Lepisosteus oculatus: one gene and its partner. The protein of the gene in region 1 interacts with the protein of each later gene in a pairwise test. Links are inferred from orthologs where the notes say so. Each region holds a gene or a part of one and is shown on either strand. Other genes may lie near its edges.

Region 1 (15,519 bases):
TGGTGTTCCCATCATAATTACAGACTTTCCCTATTTATACTTCAAAGACTCTTGCTTAGATGAGAAACATTCATTTAAAAAGAGAAAAATTACTAAGGCACTTAATCACAGTTTCAAAGAATCTGTTTAAACTGAACCTTGGTTAAGAGCCCACAGAGGGAAGTAAAAATCCGTCCGAAGCCCATTTTTATCCTTAATTTAAAAAAATATATATACGGTTCTCCTGGCAATACTCCATAGCAAAAACACATACTTTTCTCCTAAACCTGCATTCTTATTATTATGTTTACAAAAACATTTAAAGGCTTTAAAATAGAGCCACATAAGGCCATTATGCTGAATTCTAAAAAAATAGTTTAGACATGTTCCTAAGACATTCGTCACTGAAGATTAATGGTTGTAAACCTTCCTTAATTTGCATGTATAGGGACTGCAGCATGTAATGGATAACCTCTGCACTTTAAAGGCTTATAAAAAAACTAACTGAATACAGGCTCAGTTCTGCAAATGGTTGCATTATCTCAAAGCTCAAGCAAGGCAAGACTGCAGTCAAGTGAAAGTTTTCACAATAAGATGCAGAGCAATAACTTACTACAACTTCATTAGTATCCCCATGCTCAAAGTACTCCTGCACAATCGGTGTCACAGTCTTCTCAAAGGCCCCCTCATCCAGTGGAAGGACCACAGTTTCGTAGACACAGTTCTCCTGTGAAACCAGTTACATCAATGAAAATTTGTCTGGATATTTTAACCTCTTTATACTGCAACGTCTCAATTACACTGAACTGAAGGAGCTTTACTTCTGAAAGTGATCCCTAAATCAGTATCCTGTGGTAATAAGGACAAAGGTCAAAGTTTAATCTGATAACAGCATAAAATCTCTATACCCAAGTAATACAAGAAGAAAAGAACTGGCAGTTTTACCACTTAAAGCCACCACAAAGTTGATCAAAACAATTTTTACACAACTGTGTAAGGAATGATAACTTACTTATACAGCACATACAAACCAAAACCAAAACTGTTGTACAAACTTGACTATTTGGAACATTTCATTAAAAGCTATATTTGGCTGTTCACAAATGCTCCAAGTATGACAGTAAGTGAGGATTTGTGCAATTCAGTTTTACCACAGTGCAGTCTAACCCCGATTTATTTCCCTGTGCTTAGCTTCCACATTATCCAGTCCAAGAAAAGCAAAAATAGTATATTAACCAGATTTTCCAGGGTGTCATAGAAAATACACAATCAACCATGGAGAAAGTACTTGTTGCTGTTGCACAATCAAGGGTAATGTACTGTAAGGCTACATGTTCCATTAACAAGGCTCTACCTTCATTCACAATGCTGCAGGAATTAGGGGAATTATTCACACAATATTACTTTCATAAATTTGGATTTTAATTAGGTCTAGCTTTATTTATGCGGTCTACAATTTTGCAACACTCTCCCCCATCCCACACACACCATTAGTACTTTCCTCCTGAACTGTAGTAGCTTTGGCAGTATTTGTTTAATGGGACTGATTCAAACTTGAACAAACTCATCTGATCTTGTGATACATACTGTAAGCTAGGACACAAAGGGTTGCTTATACACAGTACAATACTTAAAACAACAAAGAATATCAGTGCTTTATATCTTGCAGAGCAGTGACCCAAGACATTTTATGCTAACAGTAGGGGCCTTGTTTTGTGATAACCTACAATATCACAGGACCATGAAAGCCAAGTAGTGGCGTTAACTTAAATTTTGTTCACTGTCATTATGCCAAACAAAGTACAGACAGAGCTAGTAGGAAAATAAAAGACATAGCTAAGCATCACATAATATTTTTTATGTTAACATTATTTCAGTTTTTTAAATTGATACTTGATTGATACTCTGGTTTTTCCATATCACTATTAATAAAGGTTCAGTACTGCTTTTCCACAATTATCCACATCTTGCAACACAATTCATACAGTACCTTACTGGATTTTTTAAAGTAGTGTGTTACTCAAAACATTTGTTATGTATCTGATGGTATTTAAAAACTTTAAACAAAACACAGCTATTGTTTCCACAGTATCACTCAGTAACTGCAAGCATGTTAAGAGTATTATGACAGAATGTTAAAGAAATTTTATAAACACCAAGAGAAGCAAAACCAAGTCTAGATAAGCTCCACAAAAATAAGGAGTACTCATGTACCAAAAAGAGTAATCTGTAGATCCTAGAAATGATCTGTATTTAAATACGTCACAGTGAACACATTCAAGAGGAAAGAAATTTTGATATGCAGAGCTATTTAGGAGCAGTGGGCTAATATAGGTATAATGCTTCTTTTTCGTTACATACACTAATGCACATAAAACGACTGTGCCTCTCCATTCTCTTCTGCACTTTCTACTGGTCCATGTTAAACTGTTCAATACTTTACTCCAAAAACTCCAAAAGATTGATGAGTTCACATTTGAAGTAAAGAGGTTTACGAACTTATAAGATGCTATTATATGTAGATAAATTAAAATAATTTATGCATAATTGACTAAAATTTTAATTGTTCTCCAAATTTAATGGCAAAGTTTAAGTTGGGCAGGTAAGAATTCACACCCTGGACAGGAGTGCAAGAAATTCAGCCATCATTACCTGATCTTCATCATAATTTGGGTCTCGGACATCGATTTCTTCAAGGTCATACACCTCGCCAGGAGGGCCCCAAACTCCTTTACCTCCAGCGCCACCTACAAATGGAGAGTAAAAAACATACTCCTCAGGAACAAGATCCAACATAATCATTATCCCCAAGTGGTGCTTTTTGGTGTACTGCAGGGATCAATAGTACAGAACTGTAAATATAATAAACACTAGAAACCTGGCTACTGATCAAGAACTGCACCGCTGTTATTGTATATATGTGATCTGGCTGAATTTTCGGGTTTCAGCTTCACTTGATCCTACATCACAAACGAACTGCTTTCAACCCTGGAGCTCTGGGGTGCCTGTGTGTGGAGCTTGTGTGTTCTCCCCATGTTCGCGTGGGTTTCCTCCAGGTTCTCCAGTTTCTTCCCACAGTTAAAAAAAAATACTGGTAGGTTAACTGGCTTCTGGTAAAACTGCCCTGGCGCGAGTGTGTGGGTGTCTGTGTCTGCCTTGCGATGGACTGGCGTCCCGGTTAGGGTGTACCCCACTTTGTGGCCATGGCTTGCTGAGATAGGCTCTGGCTGACCATGACCCTGAATTGGATAAAACAGAAAATGGATGGATGGATACTACAATGGCATATCAGCCAGCTTTACAGCATAAAAGTTTTGAGGATTTTGCCACAGGGAGCCCCTTCTGTTCCTTTAAGGTTGCAATCCTTTTTTTAAACCGACAAAATCAGTGAAGAAGAAACCATCATTGACGATGACAATATGGAAAGAACTCACTGAGGCAGCAGAATATTTATCTGAGCAATACAAGTGAAGTATCATGCTGAAAGGTACAGCATTCCAAGCTATGAACCCCAAGCTGTCTGCAGTGCTGCATCGAAGTCTCACTGAATTGTGAGCAGGTTATGACCGAGGTGTAGGAGTTAAATTGGTCAAATAAAGACTTAACTGCACTAAAAGAAAAAACAACATTTTTCTCATTATTCGCATTGCTGCTGAACCTGCTCAGAATATAAGGGTAGCAAGAGCAGGCGCACATGCAGGTTCACCTCTTTACTATTGGTTTCCAAGACCAAATGCACACTCACTCATTTCCAATGTCTCCGACAGAGCACTTTTTTTTGTATTTGTCCTTGTAAGTTATTGGGCTGCAGACCATCTGTTTAACCCTGGAAACTAAAGAAAACGGCTAAAAAACACACCCAAAAAGAAAATCTGATCTCTGTTCCTAGCCTAAATCGATCTTTGTGTTCCATTTGCTGCTTTTATAAATGAGCTCAATCATTTCCAGGCACACAAACCTCCGGGTTAGTCATCTTAAGCAGGTGCAAACATTTAGTAAAAGACAGCTTTGCCAGTTTGCAGATATAGGTTAAAAAAAATGACTTAGAATCAATAAGATACAATAAATGAGAATTGTGTCATTGTCATGAGAATTGCCAGTCAACTAAAACATACCACTGCAGCATCAACCAGAGTTGTTTAACAGGTTTTAGTTCTGCAATGGCTCCAACAGACATTGTACATTGTAAATATGTGATTATTTAAGTGGTGATGGTATATCTCAGCTCTTTTTTTCTTATCAAGAAAAAACTAAATATTAAAGTACAAGTCAATTATACCTAATAAAGGTACCATCTCCATCATCTCCATACATAAAACTTCATATTAGTAAAGTAATTCAATGGGCTACTTTGCAGAGCCCAAACTAAACACTACTTGGTGTTAAAATGAGCCATTCTGACATAATTAGGATTTGTTTTTTTATAGTAAGTACAATGGCTGGTATCCTACATGAGAGGAGAGCAAAATAGCTCTAGCTAGTCGAGCAAATTGCTCAGTGGCACCATGAGCACTTTCTGACAATTGATCCTGACCTGGAAAAACAATGTTGCCCTGGAAGTCTGCCAAAGAAGGCATATTGTTCCATCTTATCATAACTCATGTGGGACTTAGACTAATGTACTCTGAGGGATTAACAGGAAAGTCCACCTTTATCTCATTCATTACGGGGCTCAAAGTCATCATCGTGCAGCACGTAGCCCCTCAGTACGTACTTCCAAGATTGGGGTCAACAGAAACTGTAAGAGACACCAGCAGTGGTTAAAAGAGGAGGCTGGGCTACATCGGTCAAAAGATTATTCCCAATTTACAAATGGCTGGTTTAAAAATAAAGAGTTCTGACAATGAAGCACCATATGTAGTTTTTCTGCATACAAGATGTGCACCTACACAAAATGTATCTTCTTGATCTGTAAATTCTTTGTATGACAAAAAGCAAACTTTAATTTTCTACTACAGAAATACAACAAGGAAAATATCACTGTCAGATTCTCCAACTGATGGGTAACAGCTAAAAATTGCAACTAGAATATCAGTTATGCATCTTAATCCCCTAGCAAATTAATTTCAAAAGATATTTTACCGTGTCTTGTAACCTTTAGGTGAATGGCAATAGGCTTTTTTGTATCGCATCCGTGTAAAGGTTAGATGTAAGTTTGATTAAGGCCATGTAGAAAGCACAGCATGAAACACTACCTTTTCAAATGTTATGTCTTTGCTGCTAAATATCAGGGCATGCCTGACTCACCAGTGAGTTTTCAAAGCCTCACTTGCTTTCCTTGTGTTTAATGCAAGTTTTGTGCAGTCACTGATTTATGTTTTTTAAAGGAAAATTAAATTCTGAAGTAATTATCAACTTTACTTATCCAACTCAAATTCAGATGTACTGGAAACACCCTATTTAATGACTGACAAAGGATGTAACCACTGGTCCTACAGTGTTTGTATTCAGTGCTCCTGTCTGAAACACTTTTATATCACACCTTAGTAAGTAAACCAGGCAGGAGAAAAACATGGCTCCAGTAAACCCCTTAAAAACAGTGATCTCACAATTCCCATGATAAGCAGGCATCTGGGCAACGGGGTACATCTGTGCAGCACTTCATTCAGTGACTCTTTCAAGCACTTCGGCACTTGAATAAACACTTTATGCAACTCTTAATTTTTAAATTCACTTGACACTACAAGAAAGGGGGTTTTCAATTGCTCTGATCCCTTATAAAATGCACTACCTGGTAACACACTGAAATCCTGTGCTATTGCATTTGTACGTATGAGCTCAACCCCAAACGGGTACACCAGATGAACAGAAGACCCAACCACTACTACAGCCACCTACAGTGAAACAGAGAGCAATGTAGGTCAAATAAACAGGTTCTGGATATTAGCACCTACTTTCACATCAACTGGATATCACTTATTTTATCTGTAAAAGGTAGTCCAAAATCAAATACATTTTCATCTAGGTAATTGCATCAACTGGGCGTCAGCAAAACTAGCTGTTTGAGGATCCTTCTAACTCATACAAACAAAAAGACATTTACGAGTTTACTCTGTACATCACATCTGGGATTCTTCACCTGCTACTTGATAATCTTATCTTTTTAAAAATTAATGCAACATATTTGGAGATAACTACCGAATTAAGCAGGACTTGCAGAAAAACAGACAAGACTGGCAGAAAACTACCTTTCTTCGGCAGTCCCCTGCCCTTCCCAGACCGGGACTTTCTGTCCAGCAGCTTGCTCTTGGGGCTGGTAGGGGTGACCAGCGGGCTGCGGGTGCTCTCCCCGTTATCGCTGAGGGAGTCCCCCCGGCCAGAGTCTCGGGAGGAGTTCTTCCTCAGCCGCCTCTTGGCCTTGGCCTTCACCCGCGCTTCGTGGATGGTAACTGTGGGAGAGGTGATCCAGTTCCCATTCATCTCATTGTCCAGCTTGGTGGTCTCCACCTTCTCGTCTTCACCAGACGGACTGGAGTCACTCAAAGCTTCGGCTGCTGTAGAAGACAATTCACTCATCAGTCCCACTCACATTTTTTTGTCCCCCCACTATGGAAATCTCAAAAGAAACAGGCTGGCTGTTACCACCTGTACAGATCATGGGTCTTGTTTCAATCAAACTGGCCTCTTGACATTCAAACTCCTTCCACAGATTTCTTCCCTGTGCCTAAACCTTCATTTAAACTTAAGTTGATAAGCTTTCCAGCATAATTCTGTTTGGCCAGAAGGAAAACAAAGATTTGCCTTCTGTGAACCACTGTAGCCAGGAGCCAAATCTATTAAAGCAGAAGAAAAAGGGAAGGAGAAGCTTAAAGCATCTTTATTAACTGCACGTCTTTGAATGTATAGAGTACAGGTCTCTCAAGATGTGCTGAAGAAATCCACTTGGACAAGAGCTGCTCTGCTCCTCACTCAGATGGTACTTTCACGCAGGACAAACATTAAAAACACATACAAATCTGATTCTGGCGACAGTCTAGTGAGGCATCCGACATTAAACTTGCCAGCTGGAATGAGGTCAGTACAGGTAATAAAAGGACAAGTCAAGAACATCAAATTCTCAGGTGTAAAATGAAACAATGTTTTCCACTGTTTTTACCATTGCAGTTAAGATCAGACTTAATTCATTAATATTCCACCATATTTGGTCACACTACTTACTAAACCTTTTGCCATTTCTAGCAGTACAAGGCACAAAGCTAGTCCTACTGGGAAAAAAAAGTCCCATTGCCAAAGATATGCATGGTAGTGTACCACTGAATTAAGTTTGATCTTAAACTGCATCTATTTCTTCAACTAAACATAAAAAGACCTTGGCCAAATGAGGAGATTCACGAAGCAGATTTATGGCTCAGATTTGCTTTCTCCCAATTACACTGACGATGATCAGTTTGCGCTACTGCAAACAAGAGAAAGGTGACTTATCTATTGGACACGATTTTAAACAGGATGTGGACAACATTTGTGGAAACTTAAAACAGTATTTGTAAACTAGAATGCCGTACTACAAATGAGCAGCTGGTTAGTGGCGAGAGCAGCACATGAATTTCTCTGCATGCGTTTTCAAGTCCATCACAGTCAGTCAGGAGCTGCTCCTACACAACACTTTGAGATTAAGCAAAATCAAGCTGTATGGAACTACACACTTCAGCAAAGGACACTCCAGAACAACTGAAAAGACCCCCAATAATCTCCGTAATAAGCTCAAATGACTTTGTGTGAACAGGAATTGCATATGTAAGACTGTGATGTCTGCAAAAGGGCTTGCCTCACTTTAATTAAACATGTCAATGCAAGGTGTGGTTCAGAATTAAACCATACAGATAGATGGTAATTAATGCTTACAGAACTTACTTAACCTCCTTATAGTTTTAGGTATAACTACAGATACCTGAATAACTAGAAGTTAGAGATATGACCCTTTTAAAGTAATGAAAAGAAACGCAAGATTGCAATACAACTCTAAGAGCATATACCATTCTTTTCTTTAGAGAAAAGTGCTCTCCGTAAAAACTAACAACTCAATTTCAGAACCTTATCAAATGAATCGTCACTCTGAAAGCAGAATGTACAATTCAATTACCTCATTAAGTGAAGATCTAACAAGCCGTTTAAAATTAATAAAATATACTCGCTGGCACATGCTGAACTCCAGTCTTTCGTCGTTTCTGAGCTACGTATGGAAGTCGCCGCATTTTGTCTTTCCATCAGCTGGATGTTTTATCAAGTCACTCTGGATGCAAGAGCAGATTCCTTAAACACCAGAGCAGCGTTACCCACCTCTTTCCAACTGACTCCCCAACTTCAGCGACAAATAACAGCCTGTACTTCCTTCGTGCATTTTGCGCCACGGTAATATAAAGTAAGAGAAAGTCCATAACTAACACATTAAAATCCAAGAAAAAAAACATGAAATGTTAAAAAACGAGCTGGCTGTAGGGGGAGTGTAGCAAACGAGGCATCTTACCTACGTGGTTAGCGTTAAGCCAAGCTTCGATTTCGGTCGCCATGGTGCACAAAGCGGTCCGCTGCAAAAGCAAAACAAAAGCCGAAGTTATTATCCTTCCGTCAAAAAATGCAAATTTATCACACTTGCAGACACGGCTTTCCCTGCACGTCGTGTACGTGTTTTTCTAAACGAAAATTCTGCAGGAAAGTTGCAAGACATTGAAGTCACACACTTGTCCGTACATGCCCGGAGATCCTCTGTCCCCCTTTCTCTGCGGGAACAGCATTGTGTCACACACGATCTTGATTTCTTATTCCCTGTTTCCTATACCTTTGAGCCACGGCGATACCCCAGAGCATCATTCAAACATTTTGCTGTAAAGATGATGTAAACGGTCCCCACCATTAGTGGGGTACCACTGGCAAGCTACTTGGTTTCTAGAAAATTCTACGAGTTTCGCTCTGCAAATCCAGCAGATAAATTAAACAAGTACCTGATGCAAAACGTAAAATAATGACAAATGTATACATTACCGTGGATAAACACTGCATTAAATGACCCATTACAGTAAATGCTTAGAATAATGCAGACTAACGCATCAATTGCACTACATTAGCATGATGCCATAATTTGAATGCAGCAAAGCAGGTGCAGTTAATTATTCAACAGCACTAAAAGAAGCTGAGCCATGTTTCTGATTTAACGTCCTTGTTTCGTTTACTAATACCTGTAGTCTTGTACTATATACCGAGTATGCCAACTTAGTGTTAACTATGTTTATTATCTACAGTACTTAACCAACAACAATCAGAGCTTCCAAAAACACCTAATTTCTGTTTTCTTAATCTCGTACATTACAAAATTTGAACAAAAGCGATCATACTTTACAACTGGAGTGCAATGTTATGACCGCAAAAGTATCCACTAGTTGTACTAACCTACTGTGTTCACTCAAACCCAGTCCCAGCTGCAACTTCCAAGTCTCGATTGTTTTTGTTTTCTCTGCCCAGCAACAATGTCACATGATCTCCACCCCTGCATTTTATTGGTCAGAGGAAGGGAGGCGGAATACTTCAACAACCTATCGGAACCACTGCATGTTTTTTTAAAAACTCACTTACGAAAATAAATAAAACAAGTCAATTCCACCTTTTTATGTGCTGCCACCTACAGGTTGGCGGTCCTGTACTACCGCTGCGCGTTAATTAAACAAATCGACTGCATTGTGGTGAGGTAGCCCTATACACTTCTTATATAGGGTTACCAGGTTGTAAGTATCCATTGATAATTACTTCTGAAACAAAACTAGACAAAATAATTACAAAATTTGGATCTGATACAACTTAAAGTACTGTTTCAAAAAGCAGGTTTTCACTACAATGACAAATAAAATGAGGTTTTGGAGAATCATCAGAATTCCTGACATTGGAATTCTGGATATGATTGCACTCTTTTCTGGCGCTTTAACACAAATTGTTTCAAAAGCGTGTAAAATACTTCCGTGATAAAAAGTATTTAACACATGTGATTTACGAACGATGCGGTTACGCATATTAGATTAACAAACCTGCTACTGTATATGCGTCCCTTGTCTTCCATACTGTTGATGATGCATTATTTGCAATTCTCAAAGCAATGTGAAGCAGCACGCATGAAAAGGAAGATGGTCCCATACATACAAATTCTTTAAAATGTATTTACTATGTATTTGAATCATTTTCAGTTCATGAAAATTATTTGCGTAGTTATAGGGAGTCATTAGAGCTTACTATTCAACCTCACAAGAATAACTTTCGGTCCTTGGACTACTCTCTTTTAAGCACCCAGAGCGTTCTTTTCATGCGCGGATTTCTTTTTCTCCGCATGGTAACTTTTAAACCGGATAATTTGAGCACAAGAAGACTGGGTACAACAATACAGAACCCGCAGCTAGAGTGCCTTTCACAATAACCAGAAAACAAACCGTGCTTAGTTATAAAAAAAATAGGTTTTAAATAAATTATACCTGATACACAGTATATTGTGGGGAAGTTGATAAAAAAATCCAGCTGTTTCACATTAAGCAATGAATGAAATGTCCAAAGTAATAACACACATTGAGAATGTACAATCATGTTGCTTAAATTCCTGCATGAGTCTGATTACACTGGATTTAAACGAGTGAGAGAGAAAACAATCCCACTAAAAGAAATTACAAATCAGCAATGGACAGATACAAAAAAGACAGATATTATCTCATATGCAGCGCTTGATCACCTTCAGGCCAGCAGCCCAAGCAGCAGGAAGGCAGCCTGCTCATTAGATGTGACTGGAGCCGGACTGCTCTGGCTCAGCAGTGTACAGTACCACTGTCTCTCTGGGCTGCTCCGCGATGGCGTCAGGCCTCCTGAGGAAAAGGGGGATAAGTGGATCCACGGCTCACCTCCGTGTTGGCGGCAGTAAGAGAGTGAGACTTCCCTTGTCTGGGACGCTGGCCAATTGCTCCTCTTTGCAGCAATGAAGCTGCCATTTACAGAGGGGTCAAGTGGAGCACTGTGGTCAAAACTAAGCCTCATCCAGGTGTAAATAACACTCTCCATGCTGTGACAGGCAGCTCAATAACAGCTCCTCACTGTCAATCCAACGTACAGTGCTCTCTTGGTTCACAGATAAAAAGCAATAATACAGTGTTTTGTGTTTAGATAAACTTACAGATACACAGACAGGTATAGACAGAAAAATGAATGGATTCTTTCTTTGGTTTAAGTTTTAATCTCTAGTAAACATGCAGATTATTAATATTAAAACCTTTCTTTCTTCTTCCTTGCGCTGTGGTTTGTAATATATACTTATTTTTGATTCACTGCATGATGGCCTACTTGTTACCATGGTGACATGCATCCAAGTCTTATGTTACCCTAGATAAATTGGGCCTAATTTCAGAGAATTAATCATCGAAATTTTTATGCAATTGCTTTGTGCAAAATTACCCTCCACATGCATTAAACTTACTTTATAACACATTACATTTTTAAATGAGCTTTTGTTGAAATAAAACAGTGAAGTTGCTTTCAAAAATGCTCAAGTAAGCATATATTTTAACAATGTAAACTGCTAAATCAGTACATTCCCTGCATTTTCAGTGGGAAGAACATTGATTTATGGTGGCAAAGCTCCTTTTGATATAAATAAACCTTGTGTGAAACCTAGAAACTGAAAAAGATAAGGTGGTGTTAAGAAACCCTGACAACGACAACAGTTAACAGTAGAGTAGAAGGGAAGGCATTACATTAATAACATTGTCTTTCAAAAAATTGGCTAGCTACCTTTCAATGTCTCATTTACAAGAAAACTTGTAAATATTTGGTGCACAAATGTCCTTGATAAGGATTTTTATTTTCCACTTTTGGATAGCCTGTGAAAATGAAGTAATTCACAAGGCTTTCATCTTCTGCTTTTACAGCTCAGGGTGTGGACACTATTGCTCTTTTCACACAAAACTGTAAGCCAAACTGTTGTTTTTTTTTTCAAGTTTAATGAGAGGTTCACTTTCTTGTTATTTTCACTAACTCACAGGCTACTTAATTGTAATTATTTCATTTTTTATTGAGGGAGAGCAAATAATTGTGATAGCAATGTGAAAAACATGGGAGTTCTAAGCTCAGTGTCTCAAATGAATGCTGAACACCGTGAATAACAAAATCTTGTTTAAAAAAAAAAGACGTGGTAAGATTTTATGCTGCACAGATTGCCTGTCATTGTAGAAGAGGGTGGATATAAAGTTTTACAGGTGACACATGATTGCAAACAGCTCTTCAAAAGGCTCTGACTAGTTGGATGTCAGCAAGCCACTCACCTCATTTGTTCTTTTCTGAGCTCATAAATCTACTGTAGGAACTGCCAGCTGTCTGTGCCCACTGAAGTATGCTGGTCACAGATCTGTCTCTGGTTACACTGCTTTGGAAGGAAAGAAACACTGGGTTCAAAGCAAGGGAAGATGACACAGAGTGTTATCAGAGCTGTGAAAGCATGAGTCTTTTATATCAAATCAAGAAGTCTAAATTCCTTTAAAGTAACTGTCCTTTGGTACTGTAACATATGATAATGTATTTCAGAAGTCACTACCCCCCCTAATCTTAATTACTTAGTTGAACTAATTATTTGGATAAGAACCATTTTTTAGGTCCAATCAAATAGATGATTGAAAAGACCTGCAGTATCCTGACATTGATGCCTTTATTATTATTATTTTTAATTCAGTACTCTGTTCTATTAAAAGCTCTTTTTGTGTGTACTGGAATCTGCATTGGTTACTAAGCTCATCAACAGCCAGCACTGGAACTTGTTAGTACACAGTAATTAGATTGGTTGCTTACAGATCACTCTCTAGCCTTTCCATTCTAGTGTCTTTTAGATTTAAGACAGGGGAAAGGAAATGCAAAAGCACAAGCACAAGAGCCTTGTACTGAAGATTAAAGGAATCAAATCCATTGCAATACCAAACTGGCTAAGGAAGTTGTGTCTTTAAGACAGTCGTTTCCACGTACTACTGTGTGTCAAAAAACATGGCCTTGCCTTGTTCTTTGGTACATTTAATCTTAACTGCAATGGCACTGTGCCTTTGCGTGACCATTTATTTTTTGTTCGTGGGAGATAGGAGAGATGCTCTTGAGCTGTTTTTTTCACTTTAGATAGGTGTGCTGTGCATTATTCTTATTTTATCATACAAAACCCTTGTGAGGCTCTGCCGATATAAAAGCAGATGGAGCTGAAAGGATCATGAGGACCTGAATACAGAAAGAGAATGTGCGCGGCAGAGCAGGAATACTATTTTTAAAGAATGTAAGCACCCACACAGGCATCTAAACCCTTGACTTTTCATGTCATACAAACATCACATTAACAATAACAGCATGTCTCACTCACAGACACTAACACTAAACCAGATAAGACAACAGGTCTTTATCTTCCTCAGACGAACAGAAGATCAGAACTAAAAATACAAAACTATTTTATTATATACAGTATTATAGTTATTGGCCAGCACAATGGCGCAGGAGTTAGCATTGTTGCCTCACAACACTCAGGCCCTGGGATCAATTCTGGACCTGGGGTGCTATCTGTGTCGAATTTGTTAGTTCTTCTCAGGATCGTGTGGGCTTCTTTTGGGTGCTCTGCTCTCCTTCGGCAGTCCAAAGACATACTGTAGATTGGTTAATTGGCTTCTAGGAAAATTGACCCTGGTGTGAGTGTGTTTGTCCTGTCCAGGGAATACCCTGCCTTGTCCACATTGCTTGCTGAGATTGACTCCGGCTCCACTTCGACACTGAATTAGATGAAGTGGTAAGAAAATGGGTAAATGGATTATTGTCATTAATGGCAAAATATGAAATAATGTATACAATCATGCTGTCTCCCTTTCTATGTTTATTAAATTCTTAAATACAATGCTTCTTTTTCGTAGTTTGGAAAGATATGTAAGCGTAAAAAAAAAACTCAGAAAAAGTAGGGGGGCATTAATACCAAAGTCCTGGCTGAATTCTGCTTAGTCTGGTCTTCCCCACGTTCTCCTTGTGAATCAGTGAAGTACTTGATAAAGTACTTTTTCACATCTACACGACCTGCCATTTCATGGGTCTGCAAATATGCTTGGAATTATAAATAGGACATTCCTATAGTTTTTTTTTTACAAAGAACAAGTAAAAAAAACTCATCATGTTTGCAGACGTGTTAGAACTTTGCAATGGCACTGGATGAGAGGTGGCTTTCATTACAGAGACAGTTTAAACTCACCAATGAAACCTAACCTGCCTGTCTTTGGAAGACCATGCTGACTCCACACAGACAGGCACCAAAACCTTTAATCAAACCGATAGTACTGCAGCAGCTACAGATGCCTATTTGACACATGAAGGATCTCTGTAGGAATGATATTAAACCTAAGAAGACATAAGTTCCCAAAACTAATAACTAAGACTACAGGCTTCTTTGGAAAATAAAAACATATGTAATCTTGTTTCCTTTGTAGCAATTATTTTGTTGGTATTCTTCTGTTAAATTTCATGCTGCACTCTGCAATCAGATGAGAAACGATCAACCCCCTGCTCCTCTGTTAATTTATCCACTAGAGGGCGCCTCCCCATTTAAAACTGAAAAACGTTCTTTAGCGTTAGAGTCAGGGCGGCCGAGAATAACACGGTATTCAAGAAATGTATTTTACAGCAGTAGCAGCAGCACGAACAATAAGATTAAAAAGAACCAAATAATTGTCAATTTGTCGTTTTTTAAAGGGTCTGGCAATGCTTGACATTTTATGGTTGAACACAAGACTCTTACTATCGTAGACATTTAAAAAATTAAATTCTTATTCATGGGGCATTATATGGTAGTAAACAACGTATCACGTGGTCTCATGATCACAAGATACATTTTTCCTAAACAATTTGGTATGCTGCTTCATGATGGGTCCAATATTTTATAGGTCAGGTGGGTAGCTGCGTCAGCATGCGTACTGTAGGCTGCAATGGAACTAGTAATAGGTTTATTCCATGCTGAAAAGAGAAGAAAGAAAACAACGTTTCGGCGGAACATTGTGTTTTCTTTCTTCTCTTTCCAGCATGGAATAAACCTATTACTTGTTCCTTAATATTTTATAGTGCCATGTTTTGCTTGAAAGCTTACTTTGAGGATGAATGCTGTACTGTACTGTAGCTCAGCCCTGTAGGAATGTAGCCTATTCCTGGTGCAGAATCAGTGTCACAGAGCCCCTGGAAGAGGGGGTTACTGCAGCAGCTTTGTCGGCACAGATGTCCAAGAAGTCCTCACTGGGTCGCATCTCTTGTGATTGGCCTGGCTGTGGTAGCATTGGGTTGCTTTGATTATCTCTATCCTTGTGTTCTAGTCTCTTCTCGGTGAAGTTATTACATATTCTCCCTCCTGAGTGGGCTTTGTGCAGTTTGTGCCTCTTTAACCTTGTAGATGCTTAGAAGTATTTGCTCATTTGTCTTTGTATGTTTCCTCACCTCAGAAATGGCTTGCAACCAGTTACTATATGGCAGTTGGGAGCATTTTGTGCTACTCTGCATTTTACAGTTCCCGGAGAGACATTAACACCT
Region 2 (15,902 bases), on another chromosome or scaffold:
AAAATGAACTAAAAGTGCTTTGACAATTTAGAAGGCCATCCCCACTGACCCAAACTTCACAATAACTGCAAATATGTTAATTTCACATAATTGGCAGACTTAATACAGCACTTATATCTTTTAGTCCATAAGTAAATTATTAAATGATAGAGAACATCTAACACACACAACTTTATTAAACTAGGAAAAAAAAACCTAATAAAGAAAAAATTTAAAGACCCCATGTCTTTATGTCCCACCCCAGCAGTCTAACTCTGAAGAGTAAGCCTAAGGCTATCCTCACAAGAGTTCACGACAAATGTCGCTTCACTTTTCAAAAATCTGGATTTCTGATCCGTTTTCAGCATTGAGACAAGATTCAATATTTTCCAATAAAATAAGCACAATGCACGCGTTTATTCAACAACAGCGAGCACCGCATAAGATCAATCTCATCCCAGGGTTTAAATCAGATCAGCCACATTCATCGGCATCTCCTCAACAGTAGTATTGTAAAAAGTCTCAATATCCCGAAGAATCCGCTTGTCTTCTTCAGTAACAAAGTTTATAGCAACTCCTTTTCTGCCAAAACGGCCACCACGACCAATTCTGCAAAGAGCGAAAGAAAACGGGTCAGTTACAGGTCTGATTTAACCAGCAAAGACACGATTCACTCTTAAGACTACAATCTGAAATAAAATTATACAATAAAGTTATAGCTTTAATGAATTAGTTTGAACATTACGCTCAACAGTTTCAACATGCACCACGTACCAGAAAAGCTCAAGTTATAGACTAGAGTGGGGAATACCCCAGGATTTCATTTCAACTGTCACTCACCTGTGTATGTAGTTTTCCCGATTAGTGGGTAGATCATAGTTGATGACTAGAGACACCTGTTGTACATCAATGCCACGAGCCTTAAAAACAAAACACTTCACTTAGACCTCTTCTAGTAATTTTCTAACAAAGGAGAATTACTGAAATCTGGATTTTAGGAGAATTTCCACTTTGGGTTTTTACAGCTGAATGACATCCTTCTAAAAGGCAAACTAGCTACACCATGTAAATTTTCACAAAACTTCATGGTTCTATAATCTTTATGTTGGATAGCCTTCTATTTAACAACTTCCTCAAAAGCAGAATTCTTCTAGTCCCATTTTCTTCCAAATGGAAATACTCCAGCTCTACAATGTATTTAACAGGTACTGAAATGCTTTCACATGCAAATGTTGGAGAGCACTGTAGTGTTTGAAACTTAACTGATGACTTAAAAGATGCAAAACCAACATCTTAAGATAAAGAAGTAACAGGTACTCACCAGCAAATCAGTTGTGATCAGAACACGACTAGATCCAGATCTAAACTCTCTCATGATCACATCTCGCTCCTTCTGGTCCATATCTCCATGCTGCAAGTACATACACAAGATGAAGATAACAATCCCTCTTTAACCCGCCACACAACAGAACACATTATACATGTGCAGTGTGCAAAAGTCAAAGGTCCAAAAGAGCATTTAATCACTGCCTGTTTTGTTGTGCTAAAGGGGACAGCAAGAAATGTGCAGGACATTGACAAGTACTGCACTGCTACCCTGAGCAGAACAGGAAATCTGATCTCACCAGAGCAGAAACTGTGAAATCCCTGGCATGCATCTTTTCTGTCAACCAGTCAACCTTCCTTCTTGTATTCAAAAAAATGACAGCCTGAGTGATTGTCAGAGTCTCGTACAAGTCACACAGCGTGTCCAACTTCCACTCCTGCAAGAGAGGGGAAATCCCAAAGTAAAAACCTGATTTTATTTGTATAGCAAAAAAAAAGACAAGCTCTAAATCCAAAGTGTTGCACAGAATCTTAAGACAGAGGACACCGGACATTAAGAAAGAGGTCCATCCTAGTCTCATTCCAATGCTGTGCACTTGCTCTCCTTCTTGGATGTACTCATGCTGGCATTATCACAAGAGCCAAACCAAAGAGGCTTGAGTCTCACAATTTCAGCACTGTGCTTTTACTAGAAGGAACGAAAAATAATTAAAACCCCATCCCCAGAAAATAATAATTGATAATTGCTTACACTTCTATAGCACTTTTCTGGACACTCCACTCAAAACACTTTACAGGTAATGGGGACTCCCCTCCACCACCACCACATGCAGCATCCACATGGATGATGCGACGGCAACCATAGTGCGCCAGAACACTCACCACACATCAGCTATCAGTGGGGAGGAGAACAGAGTAATGTAGCCAATTCATAGATGGGGATTAAGAGCCCATGATTGGTAAGGGCCAATGGGAAATTTGGCCAGGACTCCGGGGTTACACCCCTACTCTTTTCGAGAAACGCCCTGGGATTTTTAATGACCACAGAGAGTCAGGACCTCGGTTTTACGTCTCATCCGAAGGATGGCGCCTGTTTACAGTATAGTGTCCCCGTCACTATTCTGGGGCATTAGGGCCCACATGGACCGCAGGGTGAGCGCCCCCTGCTGGCCCCACTAACACCTCTTCCATCAGCAACCTTAGTATTTTCCCAGGAGGTCCCCCATCCAGGTACTGACCAGGCTCACACCTGCATAGCTTCAGTGGGTTGTGAGTTGCAGGGTGATATGGCTGCTGGCTAACTTGCAAGGAATGTTATCACTTTAATAATAATAATAGCTTACACTTATATAGCACTTTTCTGGACATTCCACTCAAAGCGCTTTGGGGACTCCCCTCCACAACCACCACTTTACATAGCACAACGCAGTGCAGTCTGTAGTATAACACCCACCTCTCTTTCTACATTGATGTAGAACTGCTTGATACCTTCTAAGGTAAGCTCTTCTTTCTTCACGAGGATACGGATTGGGTCACGCATGAATTTTTTGGTCACCTCCAACACATCAGCTGGCATGGTAGCCGAGAGAAGCACGACCTGTAAAATGTCACATTATTGCCATAACCGCTTTCTTAGAATCGAGTCTCCAAACAAGCAAGCAAGGAATGTAGCACTGGACCTTGAGAACATGGACACTGGACATTAAGAAAGAGGTCCAACCAAGTCTCTTTTGCAGTACAGTGCAAATACTCTTCTTCCCGTTTATACTCTGCTAGCATTACTGTCAAATCCATTAAATGGATTTCACAGTTTTAGCACAGTTCTTTTGTAAGGAAGACTTCCACATAAAAGTGGAATACGCCAGATGAACCAAAGTCTTCACCTACTGTTCCCAAACTATCCCACCTCCAACAGAGGTATTCCAAAAATACTGGAACTACAATTATGGCCAATATGCCCACAAGGAAAACCATTTCTGAATAATCATGTTTCCAAGTGTGCAAATGGCATAACTTTTCTGGGGGGATCAAACATGGAACAGTATCCATGGCTCTTGTGAAGACTGTCAGAAAAGCACCAGCATAAAAGTGCTATAATTTGTCTTCCATACTTATTAAATGCAGTTCTTTGTGAATTTGTGTCACCCAGTTTACTGAAAGAACACTAAAAGAACACTCACTTGGATGTTTGTGCTCAACTTCTGGAAAATTTCATAGATTTGATCCTTGAATCCCCGACTCAACATCTCATCAGCTTCATCCAAAACAAACATCTTGATCCACTTAGGAGCTGTTTAACCAAAGAACATTTTAGTTCAAGGTCACTCCCCTTTAAATATTTCTATTTATGTGCAAGATACTGCAGTGATAATGTTTTAAAATAATAGTTCTCTCCTCTAGAGCGCAGTTCCAAACACTAGCTCACCACCTCTTCCCTGCAAGAGAGCCCATCAAGGGCAGATACTTACACAGGTACCTCCTGTTCAGCATGTCGAACACCCGCCCAGGGGTGCCCACAACAATGTGGGGGGCTTCCGCCTGCAGCTTCTGCATCTCATTCCTCACATTCGTGCCCCCAATGCAGGCGTGGCATGTGGCACCCATGTAGTCACCCAAAGCCAGGATTACTTTCTGAATCTGACAGAAAACCAAGAATCCCGTGTCAGAACTACAGGACAACAACACTAAATATGTACGTTAACACAAAATGCAAAAGCAGAATGACAGTGTTCGTGACCAAGCGTCCCTGCCAGTCAACAAGACAGGACAGTCAGGGATAGTATGAAACGAGTTTCTTTCTGCAGGGGGAACGACAATAGAGCACTTCACAGCTGTATTGTAACTTATCCTGCAAAACAATTAGAATTTTTACATTAACTTTCACATTAAGAAATGAAGAGTCCTGAACAGTACCAATAGGCTGAACAAAAAATAGTTCAGGTGTGTAGCTGCATCAGCATGCACAGGCCACAAAGGAACAAGTAATAGGTTTATTCCCTGCTGAAACAAGAAGCACGTTTCGGAAGGCTCTACAGCCAAAACGCTGTGCTTTCTTTCTTCTCAGCATGGAATAAACCTATTACCTGTTCCCAAAGAAAAATTAGTACCTCTTCTTTTGGAAGACCATCCAAACATGCTGCCTTGGTTTACTGTGCCACATTGTATTCTCTCAGTCCTCAGGTGCGGCATACCTGTTGAGCCAGCTCTCTGGTTGGAGCCAGGACCAGAGCCTGCGTCTCCTTCTGGTCAATCTCCAGCTGCTGCAGGATGGAGATGGCAAAGGTGGCCGTCTTGCCAGTTCCTGACTGGGCCTGAGCAATGACATCATAGCCTGAAAAAGACAAGGCAATAAGCTTTGATCAACTTTTGTAGAACATTTTAAGGGTACAATTTAATATTTATCTAGTAACAAAAGTTACAAGTTCATCAGCACCAACTTGCTGAGGATTTGAATTTCACCTACTAGCTGATATGCCAGTTCTGATGGTGCTAAAACCCTAGGGGGCTCACTTTTAGTGTCCCTCGTGAGCACTGTGCTTATTAGAGGGGCACTCATACCATAGCTCCCCACACTTCCACAAAGGCACCTGAACTCCCCCTTGCTTTAAAAGTGTGATTTAAACCTATCTGGTATTTCTGAATCTCATACAATCTCTTAAGAAGTTTCAACCAGTGTCTTGGTCAGAGTGATCAGTAAGAAGTGTTATCTCCATTCCAGGTCAGTCCCGAAAGATGGAATACCATCATTTCACTCCTCCCAGCAATATGCAGAAGTGACACACTGGACATTTTACCTTTAATGCAAGGAATGATTGCTCGCTGCTGAATGGCAGATGGCTTTTCAAAACCATAGGCATAAATACCACGGAGGAGCGTTTCTTTTAAGTTCATGTCATCAAAGTTGTCCACAATTTCATTCCAGTTGCTCTGTAGGAAGAGGCAGACATGATAAGCCCACGTGTGCCAAGTCGTACACCCGAAACGAGCCGCTCCTACACGCCGCTCGGACTCTCACCTCGATGACACCATCAGGCTCCATTCCTTCCGGGCCGCCATGGTCTCTGTCTCTAGAGCTGCGAAAACCAAGAGGGTGGAAGCGAAACGTCAGCGAATTCCAGCAACTCGGTCCAGGCAGACTGCGAACTTTCAACCCGGGATTCCGTTTCGCCCAGGCCTTGCTAAGCAGACACAGGGGCTCGACTCGGGCCCTGTACGGCAAGAAGTGGTGCGGGCACCCCCCAAGGCGAGCCCACCGGGGGCCCCCACCCCGGCCACGTGGAATGGACGGCTCGGACGGCAGTGATCAGCAGCAAAAAGGGTGTCTCCATTACTGGTCAGTCCCGAAAGATGGTAGGCCATCACCTCACTGCGTCCGAGCGTCTCCCACCCGTTACTCCACTGTACCGCCGTCGAGCCCGCGGCGTAAGCAGCCGGGCAGGGCGGGAGCGGGGAACACGACTCCATTACAGAAGTGCTCATCGGCGGACCGGCGGAGGCTCACGGCCCCAGGCTACCGGCAGGCACAAGGCGCTCCCGCCCAGTAGCACGCCGAGGGCCCGGAGCCAGAGATCGCCGTGGGCTCCCCTCCACACGGAGGGGGAGAGAAAAAAAAATCACGGCCTAGCCCGAAACTGGGTGGGCAGCTCGCCGAGCGCCCCCCTCTCGCCCTCGCTAAACCCACACAAGCCCGACAGCGCACAAAAAAAGCCTACAGCTCGGTGTTCCGGCTGCACAGCCGCCGGACACGATTACACGAAACATATTTCCCACAACCCGACAGGCGTTTCCAGAGCCCCAGTTCGGCACGGGCGCCTCTCCATCTAGTACGCGAAAAACGTTCCAAGACGAAGGAACCGCTACACCTCGGCATACCGAGAAGCAGCACGAACACGAAATAATAAAAGATGGTTATATTTTAATATCAGACCGGCTGGTTCTGTTTTTTCTTGTCGATTTTTACCTGTTATAATCCGCAGAACCGCCTGACATGATCCGGCCGAAGCTTCAGCGCTCAACTGAAAAGGAGGAGGCATTCACCCGCTCATCTTTTTATCTAGCCGGACCCCAGCTTCCGGCAAGGGGGAAACCCCCCGACAAACACCCACCTCTCACTCCCGAAGCCCCATAATAAATACACAGAGAACAGAAATGCGTGTACGTTCCTATGATGCGTTGTGAATATAAGGTAATATTTTTTTTAACAAAATGCATTTCGGACTATATAACTCAGCGGAAGGATATTGCAGTAAAAGAAAAGGGCTATGCGGCTCACTACGGGGTCTCCCGAAAGCCCCTGCATATGAGGACACCGGAAGTTCCGTCCACAGTTCTGGGACACTGCTTTCCCATTGGCTGCATTCCAGGAAGTGAAGTGTCATGGGTCTCGCCGCTAGTAGTCGTAAGTGGGCCAGCGGTGTACCAGGTGTTTTCCAGAAACTAGGTAATTTACAGGGGCACAGGGAAAGTTTCAAACTTTTTGTATTATTTGTGTGTTATTATGTGTATACAAGCAAAATCAACCTTGAAGTTAAACGCAACTAGAAAATAAAACAAAACAATGCTGATCACACGTCCGAATAATTATTTGAAAAGTACAGTAATAGTTAATGGAGGTCTCCAGTTTTTAAATTCTAGCTCTGCGACTTGATCGGAATAGTTAGATTACAGAATTACCTTGAATTTTAACCAGGGTATTCAGCCGATACACACGATGCCTCGGGGCCTGCAGGCTCATTAGCGAGCCTTTCGCCCTCCTGTGAGTAGGCGGTGGATTAAAATTGGTGGTGTTTGAAAAAGAGAGTTGGATCTGGCCTGGCGCTCTCGTCTCTGAGGTTTTGGATTAAAGGGCCTCCAGTCCCACAGCTGGTGTCTCTGTCGTATGGTCGTACACCCAAACGCCCCGAAGGCAAAAGCCTGCGCTGCCAGTGGCACCTCTGCCAGCAGCTGTGAACTACTGTATATATATTTACAAACAAGTAATATGCTGAAAGGGGAAGAAAGAAAGCACAACGTTTCGGCTGTGGAGCCTTTTACGTGTTCCTTTGCAGCCTACGCATGCTGACCTAGCTACCCACTGGAACTATATATATTATGTATATAATCAAGGGAAACAGTTAAGTGTGTTTTTATTTTGTACTTTTTATCAAAGTGTCGGGGCGGTGAGAGGGAGAATGGGATCGCGGGAGTCGAGCTGCTGCCGCCCGGGATCGAGAGGAGCCAGCTGAGGTGTCCTGGGCCTGTGGTGAGGACGCACCCTGGCCGTCTCCTGCGCACGGCCAGGCTCGCTGGAGGGAGTAGGTCTCTCAGGGAATCCCCCAGGAGCAGCTGGAGACTGTTGCTAGGGAAAAAGGGGTCTAGTCTGCCCTGCCCTGCGCAGCCTGTTAGCACTGCAGCCCTTCACCAGGAATAAGCAGATGATGATGATGTTTTTTATCAATAATTACTATACTAAAGGGAACAGAACCTTTAAATCGCAGGAGACCTCTCATTTGTAACTGTTATTATGTTGTTTAAGTTTTCACTCTCCAGAGTGAAGGGAAACCTTTCTTCAGTGCTTTTCTAGTTTACAATGTTTTTAAATATCATAACAGTCATATAAATTAATAATAATAATAATAATACATTAAAGATGTTTTTAACTATTTTGATTAAAGCTCAAAAGCACAGGTCTTTCAAAACACACTGAAAATAATGTCAAAGTGTGAAATGAAAAGCTTTTGTTTTGTGTGGATTTTAGAGTTCCTTTAGAAATAAAGGACAACAACTTTGGTATTTACTGTGTATTTTAATAACTTTCAAACACTGGTAAATTACATCCACCATAGCCAAATAAGAGTGAAATAGCAGTACGTCATAAAATATAGTCCTGGGCACGGGTCTTCTTTTCCTTTATGTTTCTGGGATGATTTAGTACTGCATCATAAACGTAGGAAAGCATTTAATTGTATGCACAGTACCTACTGTACATCAGGGTCTAGTGACAGAAGCCTCTGGGACTTATTTAGGGCAACAAGTCCAGGTCGTCGAAGCTGGAGGGGGGATTTAGAGGAGGCGATGTGGGGTTCGTCTGGGGGGGCTCTTGCTTCCATGGCTTGGAGGGGCAGTGGAAGGACGGAGTCTCACGCAGGGGGAACCCCAGCGAGATTGCAGGACCAGTCGTCGGAGCCGTTGGATTCGTTGGAATGGGAGCTGACCCCAGTGGAACACCACCTGCCTCCGTTAAGTCCTGACCGATCACCGGTCCTGGGCCAGAGCCCTGCGTAGCACTTTCGACCACCAGCACAGGGGACTCTGCTGTGGCCAGGACAGGGGGTTTTCCTGTAGCTTCCGAAGACTCTTCAGAAGACACATCAGGATCTTGCAGCAGGAACGGTGGAAATTCCTCTTGATGTCCGTATCCGTGTCCCTGTCCCTGTCCCTGTCCCTGTCCCTGTCCCTGTCCGTGTCCCTGTCCGTGTCCCTGTCCCTGTCCGTGTCCCTGTCCGTGTCCCTTTCCCTGTCCCTGTCCGTGTCCCTGTCCGTGTCCCTGTCCACGGCTGTGACTCTGTCCAGGACCCTGTACATGGCCTGGGCTGTGTCCACGCCCGGAGTGAAGCCCACGATCCAGGCGTATCATGGGCACATCCTGCTGCATGAGACGCCCTGGGAGAGGCTGTGCTACAGGCCGGGCACCGTCTATAGCCACAGCTGCAGTTCGGAAAGGAGACCAGCCAGGGGGCCTCCTGGCGAAGGTGTTCTATAAAAAATAGAAAGTTCACAAGCTATGCTGAGAATGTTTCTCATCATTCAGCAACTTAATCACCAAGTGGGATTTAAAAATTGCTAGTGTTGCACAGGAATCATATTGAGCACTAGTTTTCACAAAGAATATCTAAAAATTAGCATGAATGAACAAACAATAAAGCAAGACAGATTCTAAAAAGCACGATTTAACTATTACACGTGACCTCGGCAAAAAGTTTAAGAAAAAATGTTACACACGACTTTCCCAGGGGCTTGTTTTTTATTCTAGCTGTGCTACAAATTCAGCCGCTTTGCTGTTTTTGTCATGAGATGTATGTAAAGGTGGCTGTAAAAAGCATCACTAAAACCGCTTCATCATCTTCCCCAGATAATAAATGTAAATGCTTACAGGTACATGCACTTGGGGTCCACAGGTCACAGTTGGGTCAGTTGTTTGCCTCCAAGGTGCAACAACAACGGAAGAATTGCACTGGGCGAAAACCTGAGGGCAGACGAGAAAGGGCAGAGGTTACAGGTGGAGAGACAGGCTCACAAGCTGACCTGTTACATTGAGCTGCTGTAGAACCTCTTACACGTTTTTCAATCATGCACCTCCCTTCACTGCTACCGCCCGGACTCGGTAAGGGAGTCATGACATCTGATGCCAGCTCTGGGTGGGTTGTGGGCGGGGCTTTGCTGAAACTGTCAGATCGTTATGAGCACTCTGAATAAGAGCCCTGTTTATGCAGTGAGCGAGCACATGCTGCAGGGCCTGAAAGGACATTAACTGTAGTCATTGATGGCAAAAAACATACTGTGACCACGACGATCTGGATGTGACCACGATTTTCAATGCTAATGGACCAGATGATCTAACTGTGTAGAGATTAATTTAGAAAATTCAACCAATAATTCAATTCATTCTACCGAAACACCTGTTTAAGGTCTTAGTTCCATTACAATACATTAGTTTTTAACATATGTGTTTCATAATGTGTTCTTTTGCATAAAATAAAGATAGCGCTAACTTTGCATATTTGGTTAACTGAGACATGCACACTGGGCCATGTCACTTACGTTTCTGTCTTCGTCAGGGTGACAGTCACTTGTTATGTTCACCACTTCGGATTTGGAGCAGTTGCTGAGGCGAATTTCGAAATCAATGTTATACAAGATCCCACTGACCACCTAAAGAATTGAAAGGAAGCATTGAGGGAGTCACCCTGAGCAACAGGCAACGTGCAGATCAGAGGCAGCTGTCCGGACGATCACAAGAAGTCCAGCTTTAGTCTGCATCATGAGAGAGCGAGGCCTGGGCTCAGAGAGTCAGCGAGTACAGAGAAAAGAGCTGTTGCAGCATGTGGCCTGTGTTTCAGAATGGCTATGGAGGTCACAGGAGGCCCGATTTCACTTTGGCTCTAGAGAGGGTCAAAGGAGTGTGTCTGGGAAATTCTAAACTGGAATTTTATTGTTGTAGCTGCTGTTAAAATAATAAGTGAAAGGAACATGAATCAATAGCATAACATCCTAGACTCCTGTGCCCTTGATACTGTGAGACATAGACTAGCAATCTGTAACGTGTAGTTGTATTGTTCATGAGCTTCAACAGGGTGGAGACCAACCTGTGAAACAGCCTTGGTCACTGCGGACACGATGAAGTGGTGTGAAGAATTGTCCTGGGCGTTCAGTTTCTCCATCGCTAACTGCAGTATTTCTGTCACTGAGTCGCTGTTGGAGTCTATTTCATGAGGGCACCCAGCACACAGATAAAATTCAGGAACAATATTCGGTTCGACTGAAAAAAACAGAGGATTCAAACTGATTTTTTTGGTCTCATTTAATTATCTCAAAACATACTTGAACTAGAAACCTTTGTCAACTAATTTACAAAATAACGGAGACATTGTGAACGTTATAATATCAGAAACTCAGCAACATTGCAAGGAATTATGCTCGATCAATGTATCAATTGCATCTCTTCTTTATATTTCCAATTGGCAGTAATTACTTGCAATACCTGCTGTCTGTTGTTGGCATCAATTAGTCGTCATATCTTCTCCCGTTCATTTTTAGTTATGATACTTTCAAGGTCTTGAAGGGCAATCTTTCAAAATGTATTTTGGAGGGAAATAAACCTTTTTTATTGGTAAACGTTTCTTCAGCTGGAAGCAGAACGATGACTTTAAATAATATTAAAGTCCAGCTGTAATAGATTAGTAAACCACTCTGACACTGCTGACAATATTACCCTAAGCTTCACAGGGCAACTCGTCTGTGAGCAGTGACTCAGCTGACACCCAGCCAAAGATCCTTAACTGACTGTAATGCCCCCATTGTGTGACTTAATTATTATTCAATTGATTAATCAATTGATTCAGTCTTACCAGAGGCAACGCATTCCACTGACGTAACATCCTGCGATTTTTCCTGATGATTTATTACAACTGTAGCAGTGCATGGCCAGGGGGCCTGGGAAATGGAAATTAAAAAAAAATTAAAACAAAGTTCTGCTGGAACATTCTTCCTCAACCACAGAAGCTCACTGCAGGAGCTGACTTACCCTCAGCTGGCTGTTTGCCACATAGTCGCATTGTTTCCAGACTTTGTCGCTCCCCACAGGGCAGTCAGACTCTTTGACCAGAAAGAGCAGCGAGATCTCTGTCCCCGTGTCACTCACCTCCTGGGCACAAGCAGGAGAGAGACCGTTTAACCCTCACAATGCGGGCGCCCAGAGAAATTCAACAGTCACTCACAGCTCAATGCCCTAATTTACTAATTCAAACTATCTGACAATAAAATCAGAGTCTTACAAGAATGCTGGATTTGTCAGGCTTTTAACATCGTGTTCCCACCTCTGACTTCACCAGGGTGTTATTGTGAAGGACCTGGACCTGTAGTATTAGTATAATGGATCCATTTCAGTGGATTTCTGGGCTGTGGGTATCACAGTCTAACTTTTGCAGGGCCAGTAATATCATTTGATAACTCAAGCCTCCATTTTCAGGATCATGGATTTTGTAAAGAAGTTTGAGAACATACAGTAGGAGAGTTTCACAAAGTAGTAACTGAACAACTTTCTCCAGCTAAACGCTTTCATAAAGCAATAGTACACATAATAAGAAAGCCTTTTGACAAAAAACAAAGTCATTGGGGTTTTACTGTATGATAATTCTGTCCTTTAGAAGTAGCCGAGAGCACTGTTCAGCTGCTGTCAACACAGCAGCCTACTTGTAATACTTCAGCCTATTTCTGCAGTGACCCACTATGCCTTCCCCTAAATCGTTTTCTAGATGTCTCTATATAATCTCTGCTGACTTTCCTGTCTTTCTCACACCCGAAGAAAGCTCCACAGCTGACATGTTCTGTTTCTTTTCTTTTCAGCATGGAATAAACCTTTACTTGTTCAGCATGGAATAAACCTACGCATGCTGACGCAGCTACCTGCTTGAACTGTGAGATATTTCATTTCCCACCACTGATACACTTCAAAAGCCCACCAGACAGTTAGACAGATGAACACACAAACAGAAACACAGCGGAAACTGACTTTTCATATGAAACCACCTAGAATTCTGCTTTGAAGCATGTTAACAAAATGCACAGAGTTCAAACTCTGTTCAAACTGACATCCCCAGCAGTGTATCACAAAGAGACAAAAACGTCTACTTACTTTCCAGGCTTCACTGATTTGGAAGAGTGCAAGCTGGTTGCCCCCGGTAAGGTTCTTATTATATTCTAAAATGGCATGATCCACAGCTAGCTCAACCTCTTTGTCATCACAGAAAGCTTGAATCTTTTCGGAACGAGCCCCTTTAAGACAAATCAGTAAAGAGACTGAAAAAATTGCTAAAAGCTTGATATTTAACATTGTGAAAGCACATGAGCAGTGGAAGGGTTTCACAGCAGTGTGGACAGAGAGGTACCCAGTGCAAGTCCTCTCCAAACTCAGACTCCCATTTCAGAGATGCCTGACTGATAATTACAGTATATATAACCCCTGGTACTGCAAATACAGCCCACTCATCCAAACAAACCTGTTCAAATAAGATGTCCCAACCTGGTCAATGCAGATATCGGACAGCGATTGGCCAGGGCAGAATGCAAATGTTTGCTTATTAGTGCTCCTCGGTCACTCAAGGCTTGCAAACTTTAAAAATCAATATTTTGGTTTCAAAAGTCAGGGATTTACAAAGATAGTGCTGTCCCAGCTACAGGTATGTCACCTGTTTTAAGAATTTTTCCCTTCTAGAAAGATACAGACAGCTGAGCAGCGTAGGCCCCAGTTCTCCCCCTGACCCTGTATGGGACAAAGAGATTAGAAAATGGATGGGTGGACGATGCAGACATGCTTTCACATGTGCAGCGTTTTGTTTGTTTACTATAATTGGTTACAAAGCCGTTTAAACAATAATTTTAAGAACATGAGAAAGGTTACCAGCAGGAGGAGGCCATTCCACCTGTCCAGCTCACATGGTTACTAGCACCTCGTTGATCTAACAATCTGTTCCAGAAAGAGAAGCCTGGGTATCACTGCCATCGCCATGGCTGAGTGGCCTGTTACACACTCCCACAACCCTTTGTGTGAATAAGTGCCTCATGCTCTCTGTTTCAAAAGCACTTCCTCTTAACTTCCATTTGAGTCCCCTGAGTCATGTTGCACTGGTCATTCTGGAAGAGTCCCCTGTGCGCCGCAGACGACTTGTCTGCCTGTGCTTCTGTCCTTTCAACCGAAAAGCTGAGGGTGTAGATGGGTTACCTCATCGCCAACACGGGGGCTCTCTTAAACACATGTAACCACTTGGACTCACAGTACAAGACCCCAGAAGTAGTGCATCAAGTCAGCGGTGTAAATGATGTTTTCCCGAAAGCTTTGCAAATTGGCTTGGCCATCGCAGTCCACAAATGTTCCAGTTAAGGCAAGACTTCTGCTGGAATGGATGTCTATTATTAATTCTGTCATTCATAGATTTTGCTTGAGTAAGCACATTGATCTTTCCAGAGTACAGAGCTGCTCTGACAGTCCTGAACTGAAGAAATGTTTATCTGTCCAGATACTCTGGACCCTGTTCCCTCGTTTGCTTGTAGTATCTGGCTCACCTGCGGCAGAACCCGGATCTGTTCTGGATACTGGGATATAACTGTCCAGTAGGTCATACACCTCGTGTCTCATCTAACACTCAAGTGTTGTCACATACTGTAACTACAGGAACCTGCCAGTCAAAGGCTAGTTTTCTAATTAGACTTAAAAAAAACAATGTTACTTTTATCTTTTATTTTACTCATTATTGAAGACATTTCCTTCAAGGGTTTGAATATCAGTGTGTACCACTGAATAACATGACCTTTAAAAAAATAAGATAAAAATAGGCTATACTAAGATATTTTTGTAATAATACTTAAATAACTGTTGGCCTTTCTCAATTAACGTTCATTCTCCATTTCTCCAAGTGAGGGGGGGGCAGAGTTAAATATTACTTCCTGGAGGGTGAATGCCAAATACATTATTCTGTTTGCTTTTGCTATTTTTTACCATCTTGTGTGTGTAGTTTTAGCAAAACCAGGACAGTACTGGCAATCACAAGGTTATAACAGCTTAATAAGCTCCTTTATTGTATGAAGCAGTTAAAGTGTAATGTATTGAAAGGAACTGTTCTAAGAGACATGGCAAATGCCTTTAATTAATTTGTTCAAATCCACACCTGTCGAAGATTGAGTGCCTTCTGCCCCTTATTTTTAATGTCAAGTACAATTTTGACTGTGCCAAACATTTACCTTTCTTATTGAGCAGCAGGGTTTTTCGACACGAGAAAAACAGACAAGAAGAGACTTTCTCTCATTCTTCTCATTTAGATATTATCTTTTATCTCATTAACCAAAGACTACCATTCAGTCATTTCTTAAGGAATTCCAGAGCCTCTCCCTGTGGAGACTCTGCCAGCCCAGTAGAGGCACTCACGATCTCGGGTTCGAGCCCAGCCAATGTCACTAGCGTCACTGAGGGTGGGGGGAGATGATGCCCAGCGGCACAGCGCCCCCTGTGGCATCTGTTAGTGGCACGTCTCTGCTCCAGTCAGCTCCGAACCTGCAGGACAGGCGACGTGTTTTAGCACAAGTGGCTGCAGGCAGGTGGGTCAGAGCAGTCTGCCTCCAGCTCCTCAGTCTCCCCTGAGACATGCCTGTTCCACACCACATGTGTGTGAAGGGACTGGAATTTGTAGTAGCTCATTTTCTAATCATTGCATATATTCTTAATATTGATTGAAGTAGTATTGATTCATACTAATATTGATTTGTTGTATATAGAAGAAAACAACCACAACGTTTCGGCTGTGGAGCCTTCTTCAGGCATGTACATTTCGGGTTTCTACACACCTGAAGAAGGCTCCACAGCTGAAACATTGTGTTTCTTTTTTTCTCTTCCCACCAGGAATTAACCTTCACTTGTTCCTTTGCAGCCTGACGCAGCTCCCTACTTAATGTGTTGTCTGATTAATGTTTTTTGATTATTAATGTGTTATCATTATATCACTCTTATGTCCTGCAATACGTGTTTGTCCTTCTTCTGAGTTGCTCCTGCTTAGGCCTGGGGTTATATGAAAATTATATGAAAACTATATCATACCCATTCCTGTGCGAAGGCTCGGAAGATATTAGCTTGGCCTTGATGGAGCTACTTGGCAGGTAGCTGTATCAGAACATAGACATAAGGGCCTCATTAGAACCACTAGGAGGGAGGTAACTACCCATACAGGTTCAGATAAGGGACACCACGTTCTTCATCCCTGAGTCCCAGGGCTGCTGTAGTAACTTATTTGGTCTGAAGTTCCTGTCCTGGCCCCCGATCCTTACAAGTATAACAAGAACAATTGGTGAAA

Evidence for each region.
Region 2: the proteins of pdcd4b (region 1) and eif4a2 interact in binary tests that used the Homo sapiens proteins (3 or more experiments, as listed by UniProt). The two-hybrid records come from large-scale screens. The link is inferred for Lepisosteus oculatus from reciprocal best matches to the Homo sapiens genes PDCD4 and EIF4A2.

The regions. Positions count from the first base shown.
Region 1 is NC_090699.1:39,626,804-39,642,322, forward strand, and holds the start of pdcd4b (programmed cell death protein 4b), read right to left. Parts: upstream 8,727-15,519; 5' UTR 8,712-8,726; coding exon 8,658-8,711; intron 8,505-8,657; coding exon 8,444-8,504; intron 6,474-8,443; coding exon 6,168-6,473; intron 2,727-6,167; coding exon 2,632-2,726; intron 707-2,631; coding exon 593-706; intron 1-592. UniProt on the Homo sapiens protein: Inhibits translation initiation and cap-dependent translation. May excert its function by hindering the interaction between EIF4A1 and EIF4G. Inhibits the helicase activity of EIF4A. Modulates the activation of JUN kinase.
Region 2 is NC_090708.1:572,466-588,367, reverse strand, and holds the start of eif4a2 (eukaryotic initiation factor 4A-II), read right to left. Parts: upstream 6,375-15,902; 5' UTR 6,295-6,374; coding exon 6,266-6,294; intron 5,675-6,265; exon of another isoform or gene 5,603-5,674; intron 5,379-5,602; coding exon 5,321-5,378; intron 5,233-5,320; coding exon 5,100-5,232; intron 5,060-5,099; exon of another isoform or gene 4,990-5,059; intron 4,637-4,989; coding exon 4,497-4,636; intron 4,160-4,496; exon of another isoform or gene 4,032-4,159; intron 3,943-4,031; coding exon 3,774-3,942; intron 3,596-3,773; coding exon 3,486-3,595; intron 3,144-3,485; exon of another isoform or gene 2,969-3,143; intron 2,903-2,968; coding exon 2,759-2,902; intron 2,003-2,758; exon of another isoform or gene 1,820-2,002; intron 1,743-1,819; coding exon 1,605-1,742; intron 1,391-1,604; coding exon 1,301-1,390; intron 900-1,300; coding exon 820-899; intron 589-819; coding exon 444-588; 3' UTR 1-443. Other genes in the region: kng1 (kininogen-1), read right to left, coding at 8,306-9,040, 9,437-9,529, 10,105-10,215, 10,650-10,822, 11,412-11,496, 11,588-11,707, 12,698-12,895. UniProt on the Homo sapiens protein: ATP-dependent RNA helicase which is a subunit of the eIF4F complex involved in cap recognition and is required for mRNA binding to ribosome.